Drosophila melanogaster: one gene and its partner. The protein of the gene in region 1 purifies or fractionates together with the protein of each later gene. This does not show direct contact. Each region holds a gene or a part of one and is shown on either strand. Other genes may lie near its edges. The genes, in order: dwg and eEF1alpha1.

Region 1 (11,432 bases):
TAGTTCCGCTGCACAAGAAACTAATCAGCTTCATCAAGACGTTCGAGTACAAATGGCGCAGCGCCAATCAGCGTTTGCACGAGGAGAAGAGTGCATACTTTTCCAGCAGCCTGCCATCTGCTGCGTCCAACAACAATAACAACAACAATGAAACGGAACCATTACAGCCGTCAGTTGCATCGCTGGATCCCTCAATGTGCTTCCAGCCCCGGCCGGGAGTGGCCATCCACCGACCTTTGCTCAGCATCACCGCCTACCTAAGCAGCATCAGTATTTGCTTGACGGCATACGAGGAGCGCATGGGCTTCAAAGTGCGCAGCGAGACCTTGGGCAATTTGGCCGGCATGTCGGTGGCGGCCAACAAGCGACTACGAACGGAAAGCGGCTCCGAGAAGCGTTCGCCGGAGACAAAGAAACCCAAATCGAGTGCCAGCCCGCCGCTGGAGAAGAGTTTGGACGACGGGCCCTTGGAGGGCAATCTGATGAAGATGGAGAATAGCAGCGGTGATGAGCTGGGCGAGGAGATTCATGAGTTTCTGGGCGATATATTGGAGGCCATGCAGCATCCGCAAGCAGCCACTATTCCAGCTCTTTCGGCCACCACTGGTGATACCACAACTGTTGCTGTTGCGCTTGAAACATCGCACGATCCTGTACAACAGGCTTATCCGGCCAACGCGGATCTATCTAATGCCATGGCGACATCTGTTCTACAAACTTCCTGTGCTGCAGCTCCCGCTCCTTCGACTCCTGTAACCGGTTCTTTGGCGGCTCCATCCGTAGCCCGCTCCAAACGCAAAGAAGCTAAGGAGGCGGCGGCCGCGGCACAGGCTCGAAATTTTAAGCCACTGCTCAGCGACGATATACTGAAGAGAATCCGCAAGGGCTGGACGCAGGCGAATGCGGCGGATATAACCATCGGTGATCTGTATGTCGTTTTTGGCCAGGATTCCAAGCTGGAGCTGGAGTATTATTGGTGTGAGGTCGACAGTTCGACGGCCATGGCATCCAGCATACTAACAATCAACACGGTAACGCCTAGCTCCTCGTCGGTGGCCACCCAAACCGGCAGCGCCGCCTCGAACGCCAACCAAACAGGCGCATCTTCCAACTGCTACGTCAGCGCATCGAGCAATTCGAGCACCTCGAGCACTTCGCTGCCCTACAATCCCAACGACTGTGATAGCGTGGAACGCGTCAGGGCCGTCACCACATCGTCGGTGAGCAACAAGCTGAAGCACCTGCTACTCGTGGCCAATCTCAGCGAGCGCGTGCGCAAGCGCCAATGCAACTGCGGCCACACGTGCGATCGCAAGCGGGACCTGATGACCAAGGCGCAGCAGCTGGCAGAGGCGACGGCCACCGGCGGAGTGGGCGGCATGGTTGAGGGCAATTTCCGAACGCCGATGCTGCCAGTGCGGCGGCCGATATCCAACATCGATCCTGTGCGCCAACTCTCAGCGGTAAGTGGTCTTTCCTTATTGGCGTTACCCAAATCCCAATTGATTTGCATTCATTGCGTGCATTCTAGCTCACACGGCAAAAGATCAGTCGTCAGGTGCTTGTGCAGCGCCGTCTCCTACCACCCACATCCGCTGGCGATCGTCCGTACGATCTGCTGAGTGTGCGCCAACTCCACAGTGGCCTTTTCGAGCCGATTGATCGCGTGGATGGCATAAGTTCCGCTGGCATCAGCACCTCTGGCTCGAAACCCGATTCCAGCATGAATGCCACGACCGCTTCACAGGATCAAGAGCCAGGGGATCAGGGGGCATTGGAGTTCCTCAACGACGAGGCCACGCAGGTCAGCGCTCGAGACATGCCCAATCTGGACATTTGCGTGGCCACCAACAGGACGGACGTCAGCAGTTCCCTGAACGAGGCGGCCCAAGACGGGAGCACAAGTAGGAGCATCAGCATGTTTTCGCTTTTCATTTTTGTATAAATTTTATATTATCTTCTTCGCGGCAGCTCAAAGCTTCTTCCAAGGCAGCATGAGTCCGATGCACTTGCTCAGAGATTCAACATCCAACGCACGCTGGCTGGAGGACAATATCAATGACTTCTCGTTGACGTCGCTGCTGGGGCATTTGGATGAGATTGATGCCACCAGGGATATACTGGTAAGCCAGAACGCATGCCACACTCCCCACTTGCGACATTCATTGTGGACCGACCTCTAACCTAATCCACAGGATCCGTCGTCAAGCATGTCGGTGATCAGCGAGAGCAGCGTGGACTTTCGGCACAAGTTCCAGGAAATCGCCGCCCTGCTGCAGCAGCAGGAGAAAGATTAGCAGTGGCCACTGCGGCAATCCGGTCGTGTCCTCTTCGTTTGTGTACCCAAGTCCGGATCTTGAGATGAGAGTCGTCCAAGCTGGACGATGGAAAGGAAAGCCACGTGTGCCTCCAAGCCTCATGTCCCACTGATATTACTCATTACTCACTCATCCCACCCACCCACGTTATACCCACTAACATTTATGTTTTTACGCGACTTTTTGTGATCTATACTCATTTTATGTATGCCAAGTATTAGCAAGCACTCACATTGTCTGAACATATATATTTATTTATACATTAACTTTATGTATCGCGCGGCAGCGTAACGCGTAGCTCCCAATCCACACTTTTAATTCCCAGCCCCATTTTGTTTGTTACCCGCTCGCACACTCGTTCCGCACTACTCTAATTGGTTTCTAGCGCGTAAGTTCAATGCAGCATAGTAGCTTAGCTTAAGGTCCCCACACCCGCACCCGCACCCTCACCCTTAGCCACTATCAACTACAAAACCCAATCGAAACTTCCATATGTATAGAGATTCTCCCGCCTCCACCTGATAAACTAAAGCTCATTACATTAAATCAAATCGAAAGGATCGTCAGAAGACTCGAAATGTTTGTTGACCATATATAATATATATGTATGTATGAAACACGCATTATTTTGGGTGGGAAAACCAATCAAATTTATCCTAACAATAGGAACACACTTAAAACTTGTTATTGTGCGAAGGAAAGTACCGAAAATAAAAGCGAATTGAACTAAAACTAAATGTCCCGATTTGTACATTAAGCCGATAGTATAAGCGATCTAGCTTCAGGTCTCCACATTCTCGTCCTGCTCCTCCAGTTGGACACCCACTTCATGCTCGGCCCGCCTCCGCTGTCTGCCCGCCTTGTGCGACTGGCGATGGATGGCGAGTGAGATGCGGCGCTTGAAGGACTTGCCGCACTGCTCACAGCCGAACGGTCGCTCGCTGCTGTGGACGAGCATGTGGCGGTTGAGCTCGGATGTGCTGCCGAAGCTGCGCTTCTGGCACACCGGGCACGGGTGGGGCTTCTCCTGGCTGTGGCAGCGCTTGTGGGCAATCAGATTGCTCGAGTAGCGGAAGCGACGGCCGCAAATGTCGCAGCCGTGCGGCTTCTCGCCCGTGTGGGTGAGCATGTGCTTCTTGTAGCCCGACTTCTGTGTTAGCCTCTTGCCGCAGATGCTGCACTCGAATGGCTTGATTCCGCTGTGGATTAGAAGGTGTGTGCGCAGCGAGGACGCCTGCCGGTAGACCTTGAAGCAGGTGGGGCACCTGTTCGGATTGTTACGATCGTGCAGCGTGACATGGCCGTCGCGGGCGTTTCGCGTCTTAAAGGACTCTCCGCAGATTGTGCAAACGTAGGGCGTGGCCGTGCCATGTAGCTGCATATGGTACTTGAAGGAGTTGTTGGTGCTTAGTTGCTTGCCACAGATCTAAAGGAATGGAGGGAGAATTGATGACCTTCGGCTTTGAGTTATTTGCGAGCTGCGATGACCAACTTACTTTACACTGTAGGGAGGGATTGAGGGGTTTCCAAGGCCGGCTTCCACTGGGCAAAGTTTTCTGCGTCGCCGAAGTCTGTGCTGATTTCTCCACAATCTCGTAGACATCTTCGCCAGCTTTGGCCTGCAAAACGGGCTCCACTTGGAGGCACTCTTCAATGCAGTGGTCGTTGTCTTCTTGGCGAATTTTTGGCTGGCCATGTAGCCTCATGTGGTACTGAAAGGTCCGCTTCCTAGCCAGTTGTTTGCCGCAAATCTGCCGAAGATGGGAAACTATTTCGTGATTACTTACTTCTAATTCGGAAAGGCAACTCACGGGACATTGCAGCGCTGGCTCGGATCTTTCTAACCTGCTCCTACGTTGCTCCGGATCCGGATCGTCGACAATCTCGCAGAGATCGTCTTCGTGCTGTTCCAGTGCAATATCCAGCCTCTCCTCCTGTACAATTGGCGCTTCCAGCCGGCTCTCCGCCTCATCTGATTCTACGACCAGGAGTTGCTCCTCATCTCGTATCGTTTCTGCTGGATATTCAGTCACTTCCTGGTCATCGAGCACGAGTACAAAATCCTCCGGAATCTCGGTTGACAGCCTGGCCCTAGTATTCACCGCGCTGATCTTTTTGCTGCGGCAAAAGTCCGCATGACTCTGCCGCAGAATTCTGTCCATGCGATGGACACTCCGCTTGAATTCCAGCGAGAGCCGCAACTTGGCCACGCAGTCCGGGCAGATGTGGTGGGGCAGGAAGAGCTCCGCCTCTAGGATCTCCAGACCGCTGCAGTAGCTTAAAATGCTGGCCAGCGTCGCTGGTTTGCCGGAAATTGGATCGTCGAGCGGTTTGAAGAGCGGCAGGCAGCGCGGCGATGCTGTGTGGCACACGCGGCACAAGGCGTCCATGGGGGACGGCGGCGACATGGTCGTCATGGATTGAACTCGACAGTAGATAATACACGTTTAAATAAATAACTTAATTTAGCGTCCCGAACAGTGATGCCAAAGTCCAGCTGATGCGTTAGTGGTGGCACTCAAAATAGCTAGCCAGGCACATCAGCTTGGAAGTGACCAGAGGCACAGTGGCTTGGTGGTTGGTCAAAGGTTGTGTATTTCCATATTATTTAAAATATTTTAATTTAAAATTTTCTTAATACTGTGATTAGTCAGATTGCCGGAGGCAACATATGTACACACGCAGTTATCTGCAAAATCCCGCCAGATTTGGCTTGAAAATCGCCGATCTATACCTGCTGAGAGCCACGTGCTAAATGTACTAACGCCTGGTGCCGCCTGGCAGTGGACAGTATATAAAATCCCTAACGCCAACGCCGTGCCGGTGGGAAGTTGAAATTTTTGTTGGAATTTTTTATAAGTAAAAAGTCGCTGCCATCCGAGCAGGACTCGTGAACGGCTCTAGGACTCGATATCGGGAAGGAAGGGGGAAGCATGAGCATGAGCATGGCACCGGCCACCGTCCTCCAGTTGCTGCGCGGCCTTAGCACGCCGCGTCTTCTTACCCACATCCACCAGCACCGCGCATTGGGTAATCACTACCACCACTACCACCAACACTACCAGCACCAGCACCACCTCCTCCACCACCAGCAGCAGTACCTCCGACTATTCACTTGCACAGCACTGCCAGCGGCTGCTCCGGCGCTCTTCTCGATCCTGCACACAGCGCGTGGCTACAGCAGCACAACCAGTAAGTGATTCACGGTAGAGTCCTAAACAGTAGAGTCCTAAACATTCATCCTTGGCCACTTTCGTTTCGCAGAGCAGGAAGCTGGAGCCACTGGCCCCAATGATGCGCCCGAGGTCGCACCGAATGCCCCGCTGCTGGCCAAGCTCTTTCCTCAGACCTCGCCGGAGGTGGACAGCAACGCCGAGCAGGAGCGCAAGAAGCGCGAGGAGGAGGAGGAAAAGGAGAACGAGCGTGCCTGGAAGCGCATGAAGCTGGGGTAAGCTGACGCCCATTCAATGCGTAACAGTATTATAACAATACTTCCTGCTGCAGCTTTGCAATATTCGGAGGCAGCGCCGTGGCTGCTGGATTCTGGGCCGTCTACGAGTTCGGCAAGCCCGAGGTGGACCCCAACGGGCAGCCCATCGAGGACGAGTTCACACACAAGCCGCTGGTACAGCAGTATCTGCAGCGGATGTGGAAGAGCATTCACTACTATCAGCGCATGATCCAGGAGCCGTCGCGCGCCAAACTGCTGCCCGATCCGCTCAAGCCGCCGTACGTGCAGCCGCGCTACACGCTTGTGCTGGAGATGAAGGACGTGCTGGTGCATCCGGACTGGACTTACCAAACTGGCTGGCGCTTCAAGAAGCGTCCCGGCGTCGACCACTTTCTGGCCGAGTGCGCCAAGGACTTTGAAATTGTCGTCTTCACCGCCGAACAGGGCATGACCGTGTTCCCCATCCTGGATGCCCTCGATCCCAACGGCTACATTATGTACCGCCTGGTCAGGGATGCCACGCACTTTGTGGACGGCCATCATGTGAAGAACCTGGACAACCTTAATCGCGACCTCAAGAAGGCAAGTCATGCACAACGTATTTTCTATTGCAATCATCTATAAAGAAGGGAGTATTTTAGGTGATTGTTGTGGACTGGGATGCGAATGCCACCAAGATGCATCCGGACAACACATTCGGCTTGGCCCGCTGGCATGGCAACGACGATGATGGCCAACTGCTGGACCTTATCGCTTTCCTAAAGAGTAAGTTGCGCCACAAGTGACATTGAAAGCTAAACACTGACCCTTGCAATTCGCTACAGTAATTGCGCAGAACAACGTGGACGACGTGCGCGAGGTGCTCCACTACTATCGCCAGTTCGACGATCCCATCAACCAGTTCCGGGAGAACCAGCGCAAGCTGGCCGAACAAATGCTGGAGGCGGAACGCATCGAGCAGTCCAAGACCAAGCCAATGGTCAAACAGTGGTCGCGCAACATTCTCGGCCGCTAGGAGGCTGGCCATACCGCACAACCCGTTCCATACGCATACCTTAACCTTCCGCCTGCGCCGGAGCAACAAACACGCCCTGCAGCAGCACACTGGCCATATTTTTCGTCGACTTTTGGAGTAGTTAGTGGGAAGCAGTAGCAGACAGCAGACAGCAGGATTGGGAGGCACGCTCTGTCTTTTGCTCCTTTGGGAAAAGACGAGGCGCATGTTTTTGTTTTATTGAATAACTAAACTTGCTTGTTTTTGTTTTTTGGCAATTTAATCGTAATATTATTATTATAAAGAGACGACTTAACCGTAAAACCAAAAACAAGACATCCATGTGTTTCGTTACGAAAGTGGAGAACTTGCTGTGCGTTATCTAATCACAATTGATGGATAAGAGTGGCTAAACCTGCTGAGATAGTTATCGTGAAAACAAAATTATTTTTATGTATGTAAAAAATAAGTGTCGAATTTTCTTTCAGTTTTTTCTGGAACAAAAATCAGTTTTATTGAACTAAGTGTCTAATCCTTAGCCTAGGCTTACATTCTAGAGCCGCTCCCACGGCTTGGTGGCCGCTCACAGCACCATCACCACTTTGGAGGTGGACACCGGCTGCTCATGAACTTCGGTTATGTGAAGGTTGGTTGCCGATCCACCGGTCGCACCTCCACCGGTCGGACTTCCACCTGTCGCACCTCCGCCTGTCGCACCTTCTGCGCCCGCTTGTCGGCTGGGAGGATTGATGGACTGAACAGCAACGGTGGCCGTCACCGGCGACTCCTTGTTGTGGACGCGCATATGACTGGCCAGTCGCTTCTTTGTGGGAAAGGCCTTAACGCAGACCTCGCACTTAAACGGCTTTTCGCCGGAATGGAGGCGAACATGGGCATTGAGGTTGCTGGTAAAGGTGAAGGCATGCCCGCAAACATCACACTTGTGCGCCTTGACGCCACTGTGGACCATCATGTGCTTCTTGTAGCCCGACTTCTGAGACAGTCCCACGCCGCAGATCTCGCAGGTGAAAGCCTTCTTGCCGGTGTGGCTTATCTTGTGCTGGCGCAGCGAGGACGAATCGTAGTAGGCCTTGTCGCACAGATCGCAGGCGTATGGTCGCTCGCCCGTGTGCGTGAGCTTGTGGCGCCGCAGATGATCGAACGCCGCATATCCGCGGCCGCACTGATCGCAGTTGTAGGGTTTCTTCTCCGCATGAGTTCTCTTGTGCACTGCCAGACTGGAGGTGGTACGATAGAAGCGGCCGCATATGCTGCACTGGTGCGGCTTGACATTTGTGTGTGTCAGCATGTGTTCCTTGTAGTTGCGTAGGTGCTTCAGACGCTTGCCACACTCCTCGCACTCGTATTGCTTCTCGTCCACGTGGGAGCGCATGTGCTGGTTGAGACGGCACTGCTGGCGGAACGCCTTCTGGCACACGGTGCACACGTACGGCAGCGCCTCGCCAGCGGTCGGCGGCGCTGAGTCCAGCGACTCCTCCAGGAAGTCCTCATCTTCGCAGACATCCTCCGCCTCCGGCAGCTGTGTGTAGGTGAATGGAGGATAAATGGTATTCTAGTGCAATATAATTTGACCTTTCTCACCAGATGCTCCTCGCGCCCATCCCCCTCCAATTCGAGGGTCTCCTCGCCGATGACCTCGTCAATGGCTCCCTCGGCGGGTATCACAATCATCTGACAGTCCAGTATGGCGTCGTGGGCGCCGGAGTCGTTCATCACCTCGAACTCATCCTCCTCCGTGACGATCGTTTCGAACTCATTCTTAATGGTCACATACTCCACTTCGGCGGGCTGAAACTCATGCACGCTCTCCATAGTGATGTGTTCCTCCTGCTGGTCGCCCGACTGTGCCAGCTGGTGCTCCTCCTCCGACAGCTCGTCATCCTGATCCACCTCCTCGGTGAGAAACTCCTCCTCCTCATCCACGGTCATCGCGAAGATGCGACGATCCTCCTCTGCTAGTTCTTCATCCAACTGCGGATGAAGAAGGTGTTATGGTTTTACTTTGGAGTTAGACTTGATGAAGCCCATCTCCTATTTAGACGTAGTGTCACCAAGAGCAGACAAGTTATCCATTGTATGGAGGTACAGGTTGCACTCCTTTGGCACCGACCTACCCTACTACATCCCAAAGAGCCACAATATAAGTGAATCGATTTGAGTGACTGGTGCCCGCTGTGAGCAATCGTTAATCCTCTATGGGAGTGGACAAGAACCATTGCATTCCATTGCACCGTGAAGTGATAGATACTTACATTGGCGACGTTCTCCTGCTCCTCGTTGAGCATCTCGATCATGACGTACTCCTCGGTGGAGTCGAACGCCTGCTGTTGCTGGTCGTGCTGCTGGCTCTGGTTGGGGCTATGAGTCTGACTCTCGTGAAAGCTGGAGCAGCGCGCCTCGTCCAGGCCCAGGCGGAGCAGCTCGTCCGAATCGATGACCATGCGCTTGAAGTTGAACGCCTGTTCCAGCAGCTGCAGGCAGTGGAGGCAGATGTGCTGCGGCATGGCGGCGCCGTCTTGCGGCTCGAACGAGAGTCCCGTGCAGTAGTTTAGCATGCTGGCCAGCGTGGTGCTGCCCTCCGAACCCAGATCGATCTCCTCCTGCAGCGGCTTGTGCAGCTTGCAGGCACGCGTGCACGTCCGGCAGTTGAGCACCACTACCTCGGCGATCTTGCTATTCATCATGATGTCCTTATCCGCTTTCCCCTGTGGTTCTTGTCGGACAGCGCCGGATTTGCCGCTTTTATGACGTTTCGCTCTTCTACTTCTTGCAATTCAATTTTTATGCGTTTTTAGAGCAGATGCTTATGCGATATTATCGGTGCAGCAGTCATCGATGGATTTCGATTAATCGAATTCACTTTCAACACTTCTGTTATCCTAACGAAACTGTTAATTGAAACTTAACGGTCGCTGTTAACTTAGCAGTTTATTATTTTAAAGCTTATGACACCATTTTATTGTTTTAAGCTGATTATTTACAAAAAATATATACTCGGTTGTAAAACAGAGCTTTACCTATCAGCACTAGCTCACAGATCGAACGAGTTGTTCGGCGGGTGTATGAAGCTGGTGATTTGCTGCCGCTTTGCTGATTCCGTTGATCGGCGTCGACTGGAGGACTGTGTGGCTGTTCCACGGCCACGAGGACGTCCGCGCGCCGAGCGTTGGGCGGATGACGAGGATTGCGAAGTCAGCGAGCGGCTTCGGTAGGCCTGGGCCATCCTAAGGCGGGTAGAAATATAATGCATTAATGGGAACTATTTTCAATGGAATCCAAATGTCGCACCGATGCATTTCCGCCTTCCGATTGGCGACTTCCGCCTTAATGTAGCGCGACCTCTGCATCAGCTTCTTGCGCTCCACGCGCAGCATCTGCGCCTCCAGGAAGCGTTTCTGGCACACGGACTTGGCCACCTCGATGTCCTTGAACAGCTTATCCATCTCCAGTTCCTTCCTCTCCTTGTACTTGTCGAAGTGCCGATGATTGCCGCGCTGGAACGTCTCCACAAAGTCGTTGCCGATGGTGAAGGGCTCCGGATGGAAGAGCTGCTTGAAGTGGTTGGGCATCGAGTTGGTCAACTGGCGGCCGCGCACGCTCCGCCGACAGGTGGAGCATTCGAATATGGGCGCGTCGCTGGGCGTGCGGCCGGCGGAGACCTTGACGCACCGCTCGCAGAACACGTGATGGCAGGCGAGCAGGAAGAAGGTGTGCTTCTTATCGCAGAACAGGGCGCAGCAGCTGTTGCAGTGGATCCACAGCTTGGACGCCTCCGGCTCGACAGTCTGACCTGCTTGTGATTTCGCCATGGGCGCTCCGTTAAGCTTTTCGATCTTGTGCGCAACTAATTAATAACAGAATCAATAGATAGAGTTGGCAGCTCTGAATGAGACGAGCTAAGCTCCTGGACCTGCCAACTCCTGCTGCGCATAACGGTTAATGCAAGACCAAACATTTATTAAACGATAAAAAAAAAGAAGAATTTCACAATTAAAACACAGATTCGCAGGCAAAAGCTTAAAACCTACTGGCGACGCATGCGCTCGATGGGCTCCCTGGGCCGGATGCGGTAGCGCTTCGAGGAGCTGGACGGCGACAGCGGGCTACAGTACTGGCTGTCCAGCGTCTGAGTGCGCTTTCTCTTGAGGCACTGCTGGTCCTCCATGGAGGAGTCCCTTGCACTGGGGCGCACCAGGGATCCAGCGATGGAGGCGCAGCGACGGATGAGTGAGCCCGAACCAGCGTTCTCCTTATCCGAATCCCTGTCCCTGTCCCTGTCCTTTTCGCGTTCGCCGCGCAAGCTGGCCGGCAGTCGCATCATGGAACTCATCAGCGACCACAGGCGACCGGAGTTGGGCGCCTCCAGCTTTTTGTCGTTGCACGTGGAGGCGTTTGTGGGGCGGAACACCTCGTCCTCCTCTTCTGCGTCCACGACCTCCGGCTCGCCCACATCCTGCACGCCGCTATAGACCCTCTGCTGACGGCATTCCCGCAACGGAGGACGCACCCTGGGTTGCTGCAATGGCGGCGAGATCAGGGCCATCACCGCCAGCCCCTTCTCCTTCGGCTTATCCTTCTTGGGCGAAAACTCGCCGCTCAGCTGGCGCGGCACAATCGCCTGGCGATGACGACGCTCTGGAATTTCCGG
Region 2 (13,317 bases), on another chromosome or scaffold:
AAACTTTGGAGCAAGTTAAATGAACAATGAAATGGATGAACCTTTCATTACATTTAAACAAATATGAAAATCCCAACTAGGCTCTAGTTTATTAACACTTAGAAAATATATAAAACGAAAAACACATAATACACAGATGTACGAGTCTTGATTAGAGCCTCCCACTTACGTTTCGCCCTGCTTATCGAGGACTTCCTTTTCGCTTGAATGTCCGAAGCGGTACTTTTCGCGGTTCTTATCGGCGAACTTCAGGAAAATCTTGGCCAGTTTGGAGTCGCTGTCGCTGAAGTAGCCGAACAGCGTGGTGTCCTTGGTGTCCAGGAACTTTTTCAGCTCGGCAACGGTGCGCACGGTCTTGGAGGCGGGTCCCACTTGGGCGCGCATGTACTTGGCAATGCCGCTGGCTTCGCGTGGTCCATTGTAGTCCTGCGACACCTCATCCTGACGGAAAATCTTCAACGTTGGGTAGCCGCTGACGGAGTACTTGCTACACGTTTCCTTTCCAGCTTCCGTACAGTCAACCTTGGCCAGTTTGATTGGCGGATCATCGTCTTTCACGATCTCCGCCGCCTTGGCGTACTCGGGCTTCAATCGCTTGCAGTGGCCGCACCTTAAACAGGAAAAAACACTCTGTTAGGACACGTCACTTAAACATTATGTTGGTAACAATACTATCTAATTCATCATTTGTTATCAAGGCAACGGGAAGACAAGTTCCCAAAAAACTAGCTTGTAATTAAAGTAAGGGTGCTGGAATTATCAACTGTCTTATCACACAAGTACAAGTGCCCATTAGGCATACAGAGAGAAAAACGACTTGGTACTTATTTGAAACAGCAGAGTATAGTCTGCACTCTTAGCAGTGCAGATAATAATTCATTTTTGATAAAGATAAGTGATGCCTTAAGTTAACTATGTTATAATGAAAAGAGCAGTTTTATTGCAGTGTACAACTTTTTCAACTTCATCCCTGTGTATTTATGCTTGAATACTGATAAGGTTCGTCATGAGGGAATCAAGTCTCCATGCCAAGTAGTTCAACAGCTCTTTGGGGATTTCGAAAGCCGGCCGGCAAAAAAAACGCTAATAATTTACCTAGTTCATTGTCCAAGTGTGAGCTTATAGTTTACCCCTGATAATGGGCAAACAAATGGCTCAAAAGAGAGTAAATAGGCACAGTAAATATGTGTTATGTACTAAACAAAAATGTATTAAAAGGTTATTGTGTTCAGTGTGGATTACGATGGAAGTTAAAAATGTGTCTACTGACATGAGAAATTTATAGCACAATCAGCATAACTTTTGTGAGTAGGCAGGCAATTAAAATTGAAGTTTTAATATGGTTGGTGTAAACTGTTGGGAAATTACATTTGTATGAGAACTGTGAGTGTTTCAGACTATGATAACCAGTTTCAAGCTAAATCTAAGTTAACCCTTAGAATTACACATTCCTGGGATTATGGGTATAATGCATAGGCATAAGAAACTATAATAAAAGATGCGCTATGTACACTGGGGCCCCTATGCCTGCTCACTATCATTAGCCAGTGGACAAGTGGAGCAGGAATTGCACGGAAATTGTACCAACTAGGCACTTTGGCACCCCGCGCTCTAAAATGGCCGACGGCACCAATACTGGCATATCATCATTGCCCCTCTCTTTGCGTCTCGTTTCGTTCCGTCACTCGTTCCTTCTTTATTTGCCGGCAAAAGCAAGGCAAACGCTGACGTGTACTTTGCGCTTGCGATGGCCGGAAAATCGGGCATCGGTCGGCACTGGGCATTGGGAATCGAATTAAGTTGCGGACGCAACAAGCGGATTATACGCGAATCGCACACGCAATGCATTTGTTGTAGGATGGCGCCCGGCCACGCCCACTCACTAACTCACCAGGGGGCGTAGAACATGACCAGCGTCGTCTCGTGTTGTTTTAGGGTGGTGGCAAAGTCGTCGTCCCCCAGTTCCAGGACATCCTGCTCCGCTCCGGACGAGATGGCGATGAAGCCTAGTAGGAGCACTCCAGCAAGGCGCCACATCATTATTTGGGTTCACTTGAAGCGATATCGGTGAATAATTCAAGTTCAACTAGGCCGTCGAACGCCTACTTCTACAACAAAAACTGAGTACCGGACCGGTTCGGTATTTTTCAACGATTGAATTCGCTTTTTGCCTCTTTCGCCACGTCGCTTCTTATTCTGTTTCGTCGTAGTGTGGCCAGGTGGGGCTAGGCCGAAAATGTCTAAAGTTGGAAAAAGCTCTCAGTTGTGAGCTTTCCTGCATATGTAAACAATAAATAAAGATGGCTCATCATTTATTAATGACTAATGTCTATATGTGTGGGTTTTAAATGCTTTAGCTATAATTCTTTCCAGTCACACAGAAAAGTTGAGATCTAGATTTAAATTAATTTAATTGATACCGATTTATAATAAAATTTTGTCAAATTATCATTTCATAAAAGATGGTAATTGCATTTATTGTTAACTGATTTCGCAAGCATAACAATAATCATATTATTAATAACTAATTAATTAATTTCACAAAATTAGGAAAACACTTAGGAACTTTTAATTGCGTCCTATATAAGGGGCAGGCTAACAACTTTTGTTCTATGCACAATGAATAAATTTATTGAGTACAAGTGAAAACTGAGTGAAAAAATAGTCTAACAAAAAATATTAAGCAGTAAGTTACAAATTCAAATAAATATTAGCATTCTGATGAATTCCAGAAGAAAAAGTATTAAAACGTGAGATCTTAAGTTATAAATTTTTACAATATTGTATAAATTGATACAATACCAAATTACTTATAGTTTTATTTGTAGCATATTTTAGTTGTAGCAACGGACGCCAAAAAATGTATAAATAAATGAAACGTATTACATAAATTTAAACGATCTCAAGCTTCTATTGTTATTTAAAGTTCTATTACGTTAGGGTTCACATACAAATTAAAGTTCAGGTTCTAGTCTAAAAGTTCAAAATGCGGACTACTAATGCAATTGTTATAGTTTTTAAATATTAAGAGATATGTGTTCCAATATTACGTATAGAAATTATAGACATCGTTTTGTAGAAAATATTTTTGGAATCACTGATTATTTAGTTTTTCATATAAAAACAATGTCGAGCAAACAAGGTTTTTTAAATCCCTCAATCGTTAGGTTATTGTATTTTGCCACTTTCAATCACTTAAATTTCAATAAAATGAAGTGCTTCATTCGCGCGTAGTGGAAACACCGCAGTGAGAACACGGTTTCTGCTCTTTTGACAGTTGCGTAGCTTCGGTCACACCATGTGTCAAACGAGGCTTCCTGTGCTGAGCTCTGCCGAACGCTCGTTCACTTTGTTCGAATCCGTCGCCGCTTAGACTTCGTGATTTCTCATTCAGCTTATTCGAGAGTAAGTTTTACCTGCGAGGCTATAATTAAGTAATTTCTGCAACGGGACTGCAGCCAGAAAACAATTTATAAACAAATATGCAGCTGAGACGCCGAATTTGTGCATATTTCCAGTGTTTTTCCTGTGTGTGTGTAATAAACCCGGAGATAACCTCTAACTGCGGTTTTCCAAAGTGAAAGGTGGCCATAGAAGCAAACACGTGGCAAGTCTGCAAAGGCAAAAATTTTAACTGGCGTTCCCAGTTAAAGTTCCCAGCATTCTCAAAATAATTTTCCGGCTTTTCCGGCCGCATTTTCGCCCTGCAATATGGTGCACTTAGTGTGTAATTACTTTGCCACGCCCACGCCGGACACAGAGGTCATCCACCAGATGTGCTCATTAACCGAGAAAAAAAAACGTGCTTTCTCTCTTGCCTTTGTCATGACCTATAGATATTCCTTATTCTTTCTTTTTGCGGCATGGAATTCTAAAATGGCGACCCAGTGGCGTGAGTCAAGTGGGCGAAAAAAATTCGCCTGGCAACAAGCGAAAAAATGTGCTTTTTTGGGTTTCCAGCCCATTAGCATATCTGGTGAAATGGCACTCGCATCAGCTATTTCGCCATTTCCAACCGACTCCATAATTGGTTTTGGTAAAATGGCTGCCGCTGCACTACGTTCTTGAATAATTCGTTGTGTGCCCCTCTCTTTTTCATTTCTTTCCAATTACCAATTGTGCCACCGCGGCGAGATCGCTTGCATTTGTACAAGTCACACACGCACACTAATGCACATCCGCCATTTTGGTCTCTCTCTCTCTCTATTCCTCTCTTACTTTTCCTCCGGCCGGCAACAGCGTCACACAAATACACAGGCATAGATATACACACGCATAGGCAGATAAGCACATGTGTATTTGCGAATTAAATTTGCTGGAATTTTCCTTTGGACTCTTCGATTTAACATGATGATGATTTTTCAGTTCTGCTACTGAAGACAGTTGACGAAAGCAAAAATACCAAAATCACTGAAACAAAATCGAGTTTCCATATGGAATTTTATTTGCACGCTCTTTTCTGTAGTTGCGCCCCACTCGTTTTACCCACACCCTTACATGCGGGCACTGGACCTAACCTCAAAAAACACGTTTTGTACGGCTGCAAGAGTTTGAGGTTAGGTTGTGCTCGCGCATGCAAACAAAAGTCGAACGTACGCTAGGGAAATGAGAAAGTGTTATACCCACTAATAATTGTAGTTGTAATCCCACCGAATGCTAACGAATTGTTTTACCCTTTGTTTATTCCAACCTCTCTTGCTCGCCAACCCGCCGAACCCTGCAACCTTCCAATGTTCCAACGTTCCGTCAATCCAACACTCGAATACACACAACAGCCATAGTGTAATCATCCAACATGGGCAAGGAAAAGATTCACATTAACATTGTCGTGATCGGACACGTCGATTCCGGTAAGTCGACCACCACCGGACACTTGATCTACAAGTGCGGTGGTATCGACAAGCGTACCATCGAGAAGTTCGAGAAGGAGGCCCAGGAGATGGGAAAGGGATCCTTCAAGTACGCCTGGGTTTTGGATAAGTTGAAGGCTGAGCGCGAGCGTGGTATCACCATCGATATCGCCCTGTGGAAGTTCGAAACTGCCAAGTACTACGTGACCATCATTGATGCCCCCGGACACAGGGATTTCATCAAGAACATGATCACTGGTACCTCGCAGGCCGATTGCGCCGTGCTGATTGTCGCCGCCGGAACCGGAGAATTCGAGGCAGGTATCTCGAAGAACGGCCAGACCCGCGAGCACGCCCTGCTCGCCTTCACCCTGGGTGTGAAGCAGCTGATCGTTGGTGTGAACAAGATGGACTCCTCCGAGCCACCATACAGCGAGGCCCGTTATGAGGAAATCAAGAAGGAAGTGTCCTCTTACATCAAGAAGATCGGCTACAACCCAGCCGCCGTTGCCTTCGTGCCCATTTCCGGATGGCACGGCGACAACATGTTGGAACCCTCTACCAACATGCCCTGGTTCAAGGGATGGAAGGTGGAGCGCAAGGAGGGTAACGCTGACGGCAAGACCCTGATCGATGCCCTCGATGCCATCCTTCCCCCAGCCCGTCCCACCGACAAGGCCCTGCGTCTGCCCCTGCAGGATGTGTACAAAATTGGCGGTATTGGAACAGTACCCGTGGGTCGTGTGGAGACTGGTGTGCTGAAGCCCGGTACCGTTGTGGTCTTCGCCCCTGCTAACATCACCACTGAGGTCAAGTCCGTGGAGATGCACCACGAGGCCCTGCAGGAGGCCGTTCCCGGAGACAACGTTGGCTTCAACGTCAAGAACGTGTCCGTGAAGGAGCTGCGTCGTGGCTACGTTGCCGGTGACTCCAAGGCTAACCCCCCCAAGGGAGCCGCCGACTTCACCGCCCAGGTCATCGTGCTGAACCACCCCGGTCAGATTGCCAACGGCTACACCCCCGTGTTGGATTGCCACACCGCTCACATTGCTTGCAAGTTCGCTGAGATCAAGGAGAAGGTCGACCGTCGTTCCGGCAAGACCACCGAGGAGAACCCCAAGTTCATCAAGTCTGGCGATGCTGCCATCGTCAACCTGGTGCCCTCTAAGCCCCTGTGCGTGGAGGCCTTCCAGGAGTTCCCCCCTCTGGGTCGCTTCGCTGTGCGTGACATGAGGCAGACCGTGGCTGTCGGTGTCATTAAGGCTGTCAACTTCAAGGATGCCTCCGGTGGCAAGGTCACCAAGGCCGCCGAGAAGGCCACCAAGGGCAAGAAGTAGCTGGTTTGCTTCCACTCAACAACAACAACAACACGCAGTAGTAGCAGCAACAACAAGCATATAACCAACATCATAATGCAGCCAACAACACCACTCAATAATACCAGCAACAGCAGCAGCGAACACAATAGTAGTATAACACCAACACCTGTCCTGCGCAAGATGACCGATAAGATGATGTTTCAGCAGAAGCATAAGTTTAATTTCTTCCATCGAAAGGAGTTTCGACGGATACGAATGCTAAATGCAGACGAGGCCGCCTAAATTGGGAAACGGTGGATCCCAAGGATAAGAGTGCACACTGGGAAAACACTTGCATTTATGCATCCACTCCTCATCCACTTCCCCGTCGATCTTTAGTTTACTAAATATGGTATGATGCACGGAGTTGACTTCGTTTTATCATATCATATATAGGAATCCTCTGTAGCATTTATGATATCGTTTAAATTAACCTTTATACTTTGATATGTATCATTTATCTTACCCTACTTTTGCACACACTACTTTGTACACAAGAAAAGAACCAGAATAGAAGCGATAACTATATTTACAAAAAAAATAAAAACCCTATTTTTGTATTTCTTTTGTTTTTACCACCCAGCCCGTAAAAGAGCACTCTCTTTGCTTGTTGCCTCCCGATTTTCAGCGCCATGATCGATCGTCCCTAACTCCAAGTTCACTTATCGTCGATGCCACAAAGTACAAACAAGAGCTAGTCGAAGAGTACAACAATTGAATCTGACAACAAATACCTCAATCGTTTAAATAAAGCAAGCAATTGCATCTGAAGAATAATGAATATTTTTTATTGTATTTGAGGGGGGGGGGGGGGCTTTTATTTCTCATCGCAAATAGAGAAAAATGCATTGATTTATTTATTTAAATAATAACGAACGAAGTTGGAACAAGTGTTTTTTTATAATTTCTGTTTAAAGTTATGGGATATATTATTTCCTTCGTAAAATCTGTATAAAAACAAATTAAAAAATGTACTAGAAAATAAACTAAGATCGTAAAATACATATATGGATTTAAATATAACTATATTTACATTGGAGTAATTTGCACAAAAAGGTGAAACAGTGTGGGAAAATGGTACTCTGTGTGTCCTAGCTTAAATATTTAGTAAAGTGAAGTGGATGCACCCACTGATCTCTATTTGTCCAGCACAAACGGTGGATCGACGAAGTCGTGAAGGTGCCTTCTTTGTGTTTTGTCCTCATCGCGATCCCTAGGATCCTCGTACCGGATCCCATCGGCCGAGATAATGGCGCTCTTCATAAGATATTTGCCAAAGCGCTGAATTTGCATATTCGTGATGCTGTCCAGCACCCAGTAAGGATCGAGATAGACGCGATCGTCCTCGGCGCGCCGCTTGTCCCCGATGATGTACTTGGCCTTGAAGCGGTTCTCGGTCAGGGTGGCACCGCCCAGCAGGAGCAGCTCCTTCATATTGTTGAACTGCACCGGTCGGCAGAGGGAGGACACATAGAAGGGCTCCATAAAGCGAAACAACTCACACTGGTAGTGGACGCCAAAGGCCTGCCTTTCTGTACGACAAATCTGAAGGATTAGAAACGGAAATGAGTTAGTAAGTAGCTACTGGTGAGAAAGCATAGAGCTTACCTCGATTGCACGCGAAAACCTGGTCAGCTCATAGGGCTCTTCATTGATCCACTTGCCAGCCCGAATGGAGGCCAACACCCACTGGTAGCTAACTATCCAGACTCCGCGCATCAATCCGCGCAGGAGATTCAGGGTACGTCGCGGCTCCAGGCTAACCAGGTGGGTGGTGTGCTGGGTCACGGTTGGATCCAGCCGCATGCCGCGTAACTTGCGCAGGGCCTGGGATTGAAGGCGGTTTTTTCGATTAGGATTTATAACCGCCACGGATATTGTTTATTCAACTGTGCGGGAGGCTTTACAAATGAGTTACTGCGCTACCAATCTACCGAGTGTTGTTTATGCTTAATCAATAATTAATATGGGACCATTAACGAGTTGTGAATATGCTAATTTACAAACTAGTACGGTTTACTACTAACTAATCCATTAGTGGAGTTGCAAAACTGGCTATACAACGGTTACAATCAGAGGGAGATGTGGATGGTATATTGGTCACTCCGTCGTATTACCAACCTTGCGGATGACGTTGATCTGCTCCTGGTGCATGTTGGTGTGGACTAGCGTGCGAATCCGTGTACGTGATTTGCCCTTTGGTTTCTCATTCTCTTCCCCGGCGTTTGATGTAGATTTCTTCACTTCCGGAACGGCATCCAACGAAGCCTCAGATATTTCTGTATTGCTCTTGGACTTTTCTGCCTCCTTGTTTGTGACGGCTTTGGAAAGAGGAGTCGTGGCACACAACTCTGATGATGAAGACTTTGCGGGAGTGGCTAGCGAGCGTCGACGCTTCTGCACCGAGCTCGATGATCCGGATCCGGTTATGCTCAAACGACTCTTTCTGTTGCTCATCGCTGGCGAAATGACCACCTCGTCGTTTGGATTGAAAAGGCGCCGCCTTTTGGGCTCTTGTGATGGGACTGGCTCTGCTTGCGGTGGCTCTTGTTCATGGACTTGGCAAGACTCGCCCAGCTCCGCCTTATTGGCCAAGGCTAGGGACATTCGATGTGACTGGTTCATTCTTTCGATGCTCTCGTTGATCACGTCCATGTCCATGTTAAAAATAGTTCGCCTGCGATTTCCTGTAGTCTGGCCTGTGGGCAGTCGTGTGGAGCTGAACAGCGGCGTCACTTGCTGCTCAACGTCTAAAAAGGACGTCTGAGTAGTCACGTTGCTGAGCGACTGCCTGGCCCTCGGAGCTAAGTTTTCCTGCCTCAACTCTAAGCTCGACTTGGCCACGCTGCGCCGACGAGGAGAACTTATGTCCATCAATTCTGAGGCATAGAGCGTGCCACGTCTGTCCGCTTTAAAAGAAGCTTCTGCCTCCACGGCAGTTATCTCAATTGATTGCTCAAGACAATTGGTGTTGTTGATTATATTGGTCTCGGCCATAATTATAGAATTCCTGTTCTCTTCAACGGGAGCCAGCTCCTCCGTTATGGGTTGAATGGTTTGCCTTTGGGCGGTTTCTTCTGCTTGTTTGGCAATCCCTAGCAATGAGCTCCTGCGACGAGTCATTCTGGGTTCCGCAACTGCGGTTTGAGTTGGATCGGCCTCGTGAATAACCGTGGAAGTGAGTAGCGAACTTCTGCGGCGGGTCATTCTCGTATCCGTTGCAGCAGGACTGCTGATTTCAGCTACGCAGCTACGACGGCGAGTGGTGCGCACTGGTGGCGTCATTACCGGCGGTGGATCCACTGTGCTCCGCCGTGGGCGTGAAGTGCTCGATGGTTTTGCCTGGGGGGTATTGCTGTCCGTCTGCTCTCCAAATTGCAAACTCTTTTGGGCCTGCACCTTTTGGGCCACCGCATCTCCACTACCATTGGTTCCCATCAGCTGGGGAGTGCCACCGGCCGGCAAAGGAGTGTAGCATCCACTGCTTATCCTATGGTTAAAGATTTTATTTATTTAGCAGACAAGATTTTTGTACAGGCATATTATTGAGAAAACACACCTGTTGAGTAGTTTGGTGGCTGGCGACTCTATTGCCTCATCATCCGATGGCTTATTGTGGTTAATGGCTCTGAAAAAGCGGCTGATGTCATTCTGAAAAGAGAAAACATTTTAATACTTGAATCAAAAGAAACATTCTACTGTAGTGATAATGACTACTGAGAATTGCTCATTTAAGGGGCCTAAAATTTATCTATGCAATACAAATTGATGTTAATGAAATATTTACCAGACACATATACACATATCTATTTAAATTAGTATACGATTATTTTAATTTAATTGTATAGAACTATGCTCATTATGCCTACAAAGTTCAAATATCTCAATTTCATAATAAATATTTGTAATATTTAATACTGAGCCCAATTACCTTTGGTGTGGTGGTTGTTGGAGTTCCGGTCTGGGCTCGTTTGTTAGTCGATCCTGGCTCGTTGTCCTTGGAGGATGTGGGTGTTCCTTGGCGTTTGCGGGGTCGCTGATTCAACTCGGAGTCCGGCTGCATGAACTTAACGCGCTGCGAATTAAGGGATTTTAAAATTAGTTAACGCTGCGTAGCTGCAACTACGGTGAGCAAGCTCATGCCCTTTGGTGTTATTGTTGATGCTGCGGATGCTGCCGACTTTTTTCAGTCATGTTGACTAGAAAACACTGTTTTATTTGTTCATAACTACGTGATATCTGGCCCGTTGTTTAAATAGAAAACTTTCTTATCTACAATGAGACCATCTCGCTGCCCAAGAGGATGGTTCCATCAAGTCGCAATCGATAGTGCTCGCTTATGCGTTAAATGAATATCAAATGATATTTAATAAAATTACAAGTCAAATCCGAGGTGAGCAATAATGATTTAGTAGCAGAGTTCGGTAACGAATTTTGAATAAATGCGCCTTGCGAGTGCCATCCCTAGCGGCCGCCGTCTATCGATAGACGCCAGCGATAACACTACTATCGATTGCCGTGGCACACAGCCAGCGGCCCTATAAAAATTGCTTTTTGTGGGGCTGTCAGCTCAGTCAGCGGCTCATTCATCACTTTCCGACGCGCTCTAGTAGAGCTAGTAGACCTTTTTATCAACCCGTCAGTATTACGCGTCCCCCCGAAATTGCCCCGCCGCCCGAAACGCAATAGCATTCCGCAAAAACAATACGATAAGCAGCAACAAGTGTTCCAGAGATTCCCTTGAAACATACACAGAATCTAAAACTCCATTGAAATTGGTTCTCAGTTGTTTTGTTTACCCAGCAATCAGTGCCCAAGAACGTGGCACATTTCCAACTGTGGGCGGGTAAACAATTGCTGCGCAACAATTAAGAAAACTTGTTCGCCCTGTCTGTGTACACGCGAATAAATCTCGGGAGTACAATTCCATACCAGCCGGTGACGGGCACGGAAAAGCAGCTCTAACTGTGCAAGATGATTCCAGGCTATGGACCCGTCACGCAGGCTCTGCTGGGCACCCTGCTTACCTGGGGACTGACCGCCGCTGGCGCCGCCCTAGTGATCTTCGTCCGGGGTAACCAGCGGAGGTCTCTGGACGCCGCCCTGGGATTCGCAGCTGGCGTAATGATAGCAGCCTCCTTTTGGTCACTCCTCAAGCCGGCCATCGAAATGGCCGAGAGTTCCCATTTGTACGGAGTATACGCCTTTCTGCCCGTCGCTGGAGGCTTCCTCTTGGGATCGATCTTCGTCTACGGATGCGACAAATTGATGTCATACCTGGGCCTTAACAGCACCAACATGATGATCCAGATGACGCAATCAAAAGCCAAGGCGGACATAGCCATCGAGGACTCTAAGCGCAATGGAGTTGCCCCCGATAGGTTGGCCTCAAAGAGTCTGGACAGCTTCTCCGACTGCCTTAGCGTGCAGCACAGCGGCGAATCGAGACGCCGAAAGAAGGGAGCTAGCATCAACGAGATGGAGCAGTGCACCTACACCACGCCTGAGGAGCAGCAGCGCGCCGAGGACGCCCTGTCCCAGTGGAAGAGGATTATGCTTTTGGTCGTGGCCATCACGGTCCACAACATTCCAGAAGGGCTGGCTGTGGGCGTAAGCTTTGGTGCCATTGGCTCCACGAACTCATCGACATTTGAGAGCGCCCGCAATTTGGCCATTGGCATTGGCATTCAAAACTTCCCCGAGGGATTGGCTGTCAGCTTGCCACTGCATGCCGCAGGATTCAGCGTGAAGCGGGCTCTGTGGTACGGACAGCTGTCCGGAATGGTGGAGCCCATTTTTGGAGTTCTGGGCGCCGTGGCGGTGACCTTTGCCAACCTGATCCTGCCATACGCCTTGTCTTTTGCGGCCGGAGCCATGATATACATTGTGTCGGACGACATTCTGCCGGAGGCTCATGCCAGCGGAAATGGAACGATCGCCACGTGGGGCACTGTATCCGGCTTCCTGATCATGATGTGTCTGGAGGTGGCGCTGTCGTGAGGAACGAACGGCTCGCCTTCGCCCGCCTCGCAGATTTCATAATCTAGTGCTAAACTCAAAGATTCCACTGTACTTAACGCAAAACTCTGCTGTCTTGTAAATAGAAGCATGCTGTGTACAAATCTCAGAACCAGCCCTAAACGAGAATCTAATAATCTAGCGTAGAGTGTAAGTTTTGTAGAAAGAAGCTTGACAACCAGCGATGCCGCGACGACATCCGTGCAATTGTGTATCTGTGCACACGTATCTGTACAGCATTCCCAGCGAGTTATGTAAATGAACTGTTCTAGGAAAATTTGTAAACAAACGTGCATGTGAATTAGGTTTTAAGTTGTCACCGGCGTCCAGTAGCTTGTGTCTTTTTTAACCGTCTAATGTCTAAGTAATAAACTAAACGAATTCAAATGAACATCTCTCAGTTGCACCCACTCGCTTTTTTCCCTCACAAATGTAGCTGTCTCCGTCCGGACAACTTCCTGACCGTTTCTTTGGCCGTACGATAGCTGATAAGGGCAAGTAAATTCACTTAGATAACCCGGAGTGCCAACAACAACAACAGCTGGTTGACTCGCTGTCAGCCAGTGATAAGTGATAAGAATCTGTCCGACACGAAGAGTTCCCAATATTGCGCGTATTCCGTGTTTGAGATACGTGCAGTTTCAGACGGCCCGCGGTCCTGCGTTTCTGTTCGCCATTTTCTGGATTAACTAATCATTTCAGATATGTATGTTTGTACTCGCACAAGTGCTTTGGGCCACAGTCCACCCACTGTGATCGTGGTCATCAGGAAAAGTGGTCGATAAGACCTCTTGCCGGCTATCTGTTGTACAATTTCCATATAGTTCTTTATGTGCGCCATAAAACCATAAACTCGGTATGAATGGCCTATTAGTTGGGGGCATATCTCAAGTGGAGTTAATGCTTCTGTGTCCGCAATGCCATAAATTGATAGTGTCAACGATTAGACTAATTAAAGACCTATTTCTTTTGTAATCGAAGTGTAAGTTAAAGCTGCCATTTCCAACCAAAATGTAATGCAGAGTTGATGAACTCGAAAGTACATTGTCGTCTTAGATCTGATAAAGCTTTTGGGAAGTTGTTAGGCCTAA

Evidence for each region.
Region 2: the proteins of dwg (region 1) and eEF1alpha1 purify together in Drosophila melanogaster (affinity purification with western blotting; one study listed by BioGRID). This does not show direct contact.

The regions. Positions count from the first base shown.
Region 1 is NC_004354.4:2,725,868-2,737,299, reverse strand, and holds dwg (deformed wings), read right to left. Parts: upstream 9,603-11,432; 5' UTR 9,469-9,602; coding exon 9,037-9,468; intron 8,756-9,036; coding exon 8,366-8,755; intron 8,304-8,365; coding exon 7,347-8,303; 3' UTR 7,258-7,346; downstream 1-7,257. Other genes in the region: crm (cramped), read left to right, coding at 1-1,463, 1,532-1,904, 1,972-2,123, 2,196-2,297; CG2712 (uncharacterized protein), read right to left, coding at 3,100-3,744, 3,815-4,069, 4,130-4,735; ttm50 (tiny tim 50), read left to right, coding at 5,252-5,510, 5,583-5,766, 5,823-6,351, 6,411-6,534, 6,594-6,784; vilya, read right to left, coding at 9,816-10,008, 10,073-10,593; fs(1)Ya (female sterile (1) young arrest), read right to left, coding at 10,809-11,432.
Region 2 is NT_033778.4:11,888,780-11,902,096, forward strand, and holds eEF1alpha1 (eukaryotic translation elongation factor 1 alpha 1), read left to right. Parts: upstream 1-2,355; 5' UTR 2,356-2,465; intron 2,466-2,616; exon of another isoform or gene 2,617-2,686; intron 2,687-3,342; exon of another isoform or gene 3,343-3,405; intron 3,406-4,343; exon of another isoform or gene 4,344-4,416; intron 4,417-4,762; exon of another isoform or gene 4,763-4,775; 5' UTR 4,776-4,795; coding exon 4,796-6,187; 3' UTR 6,188-6,741; downstream 6,742-13,317. Other genes in the region: ERp60 (endoplasmic reticulum p60), read right to left, coding at 170-610, 1,892-2,040; MCPH1 (microcephalin), read right to left, coding at 7,346-7,753, 7,817-8,035, 8,330-9,698, 9,768-9,859, 10,140-10,283; Zip48C (Zinc/iron regulated transporter-related protein 48C), read left to right, coding at 11,183-12,208. UniProt on the Drosophila melanogaster protein: This protein promotes the GTP-dependent binding of aminoacyl-tRNA to the A-site of ribosomes during protein biosynthesis.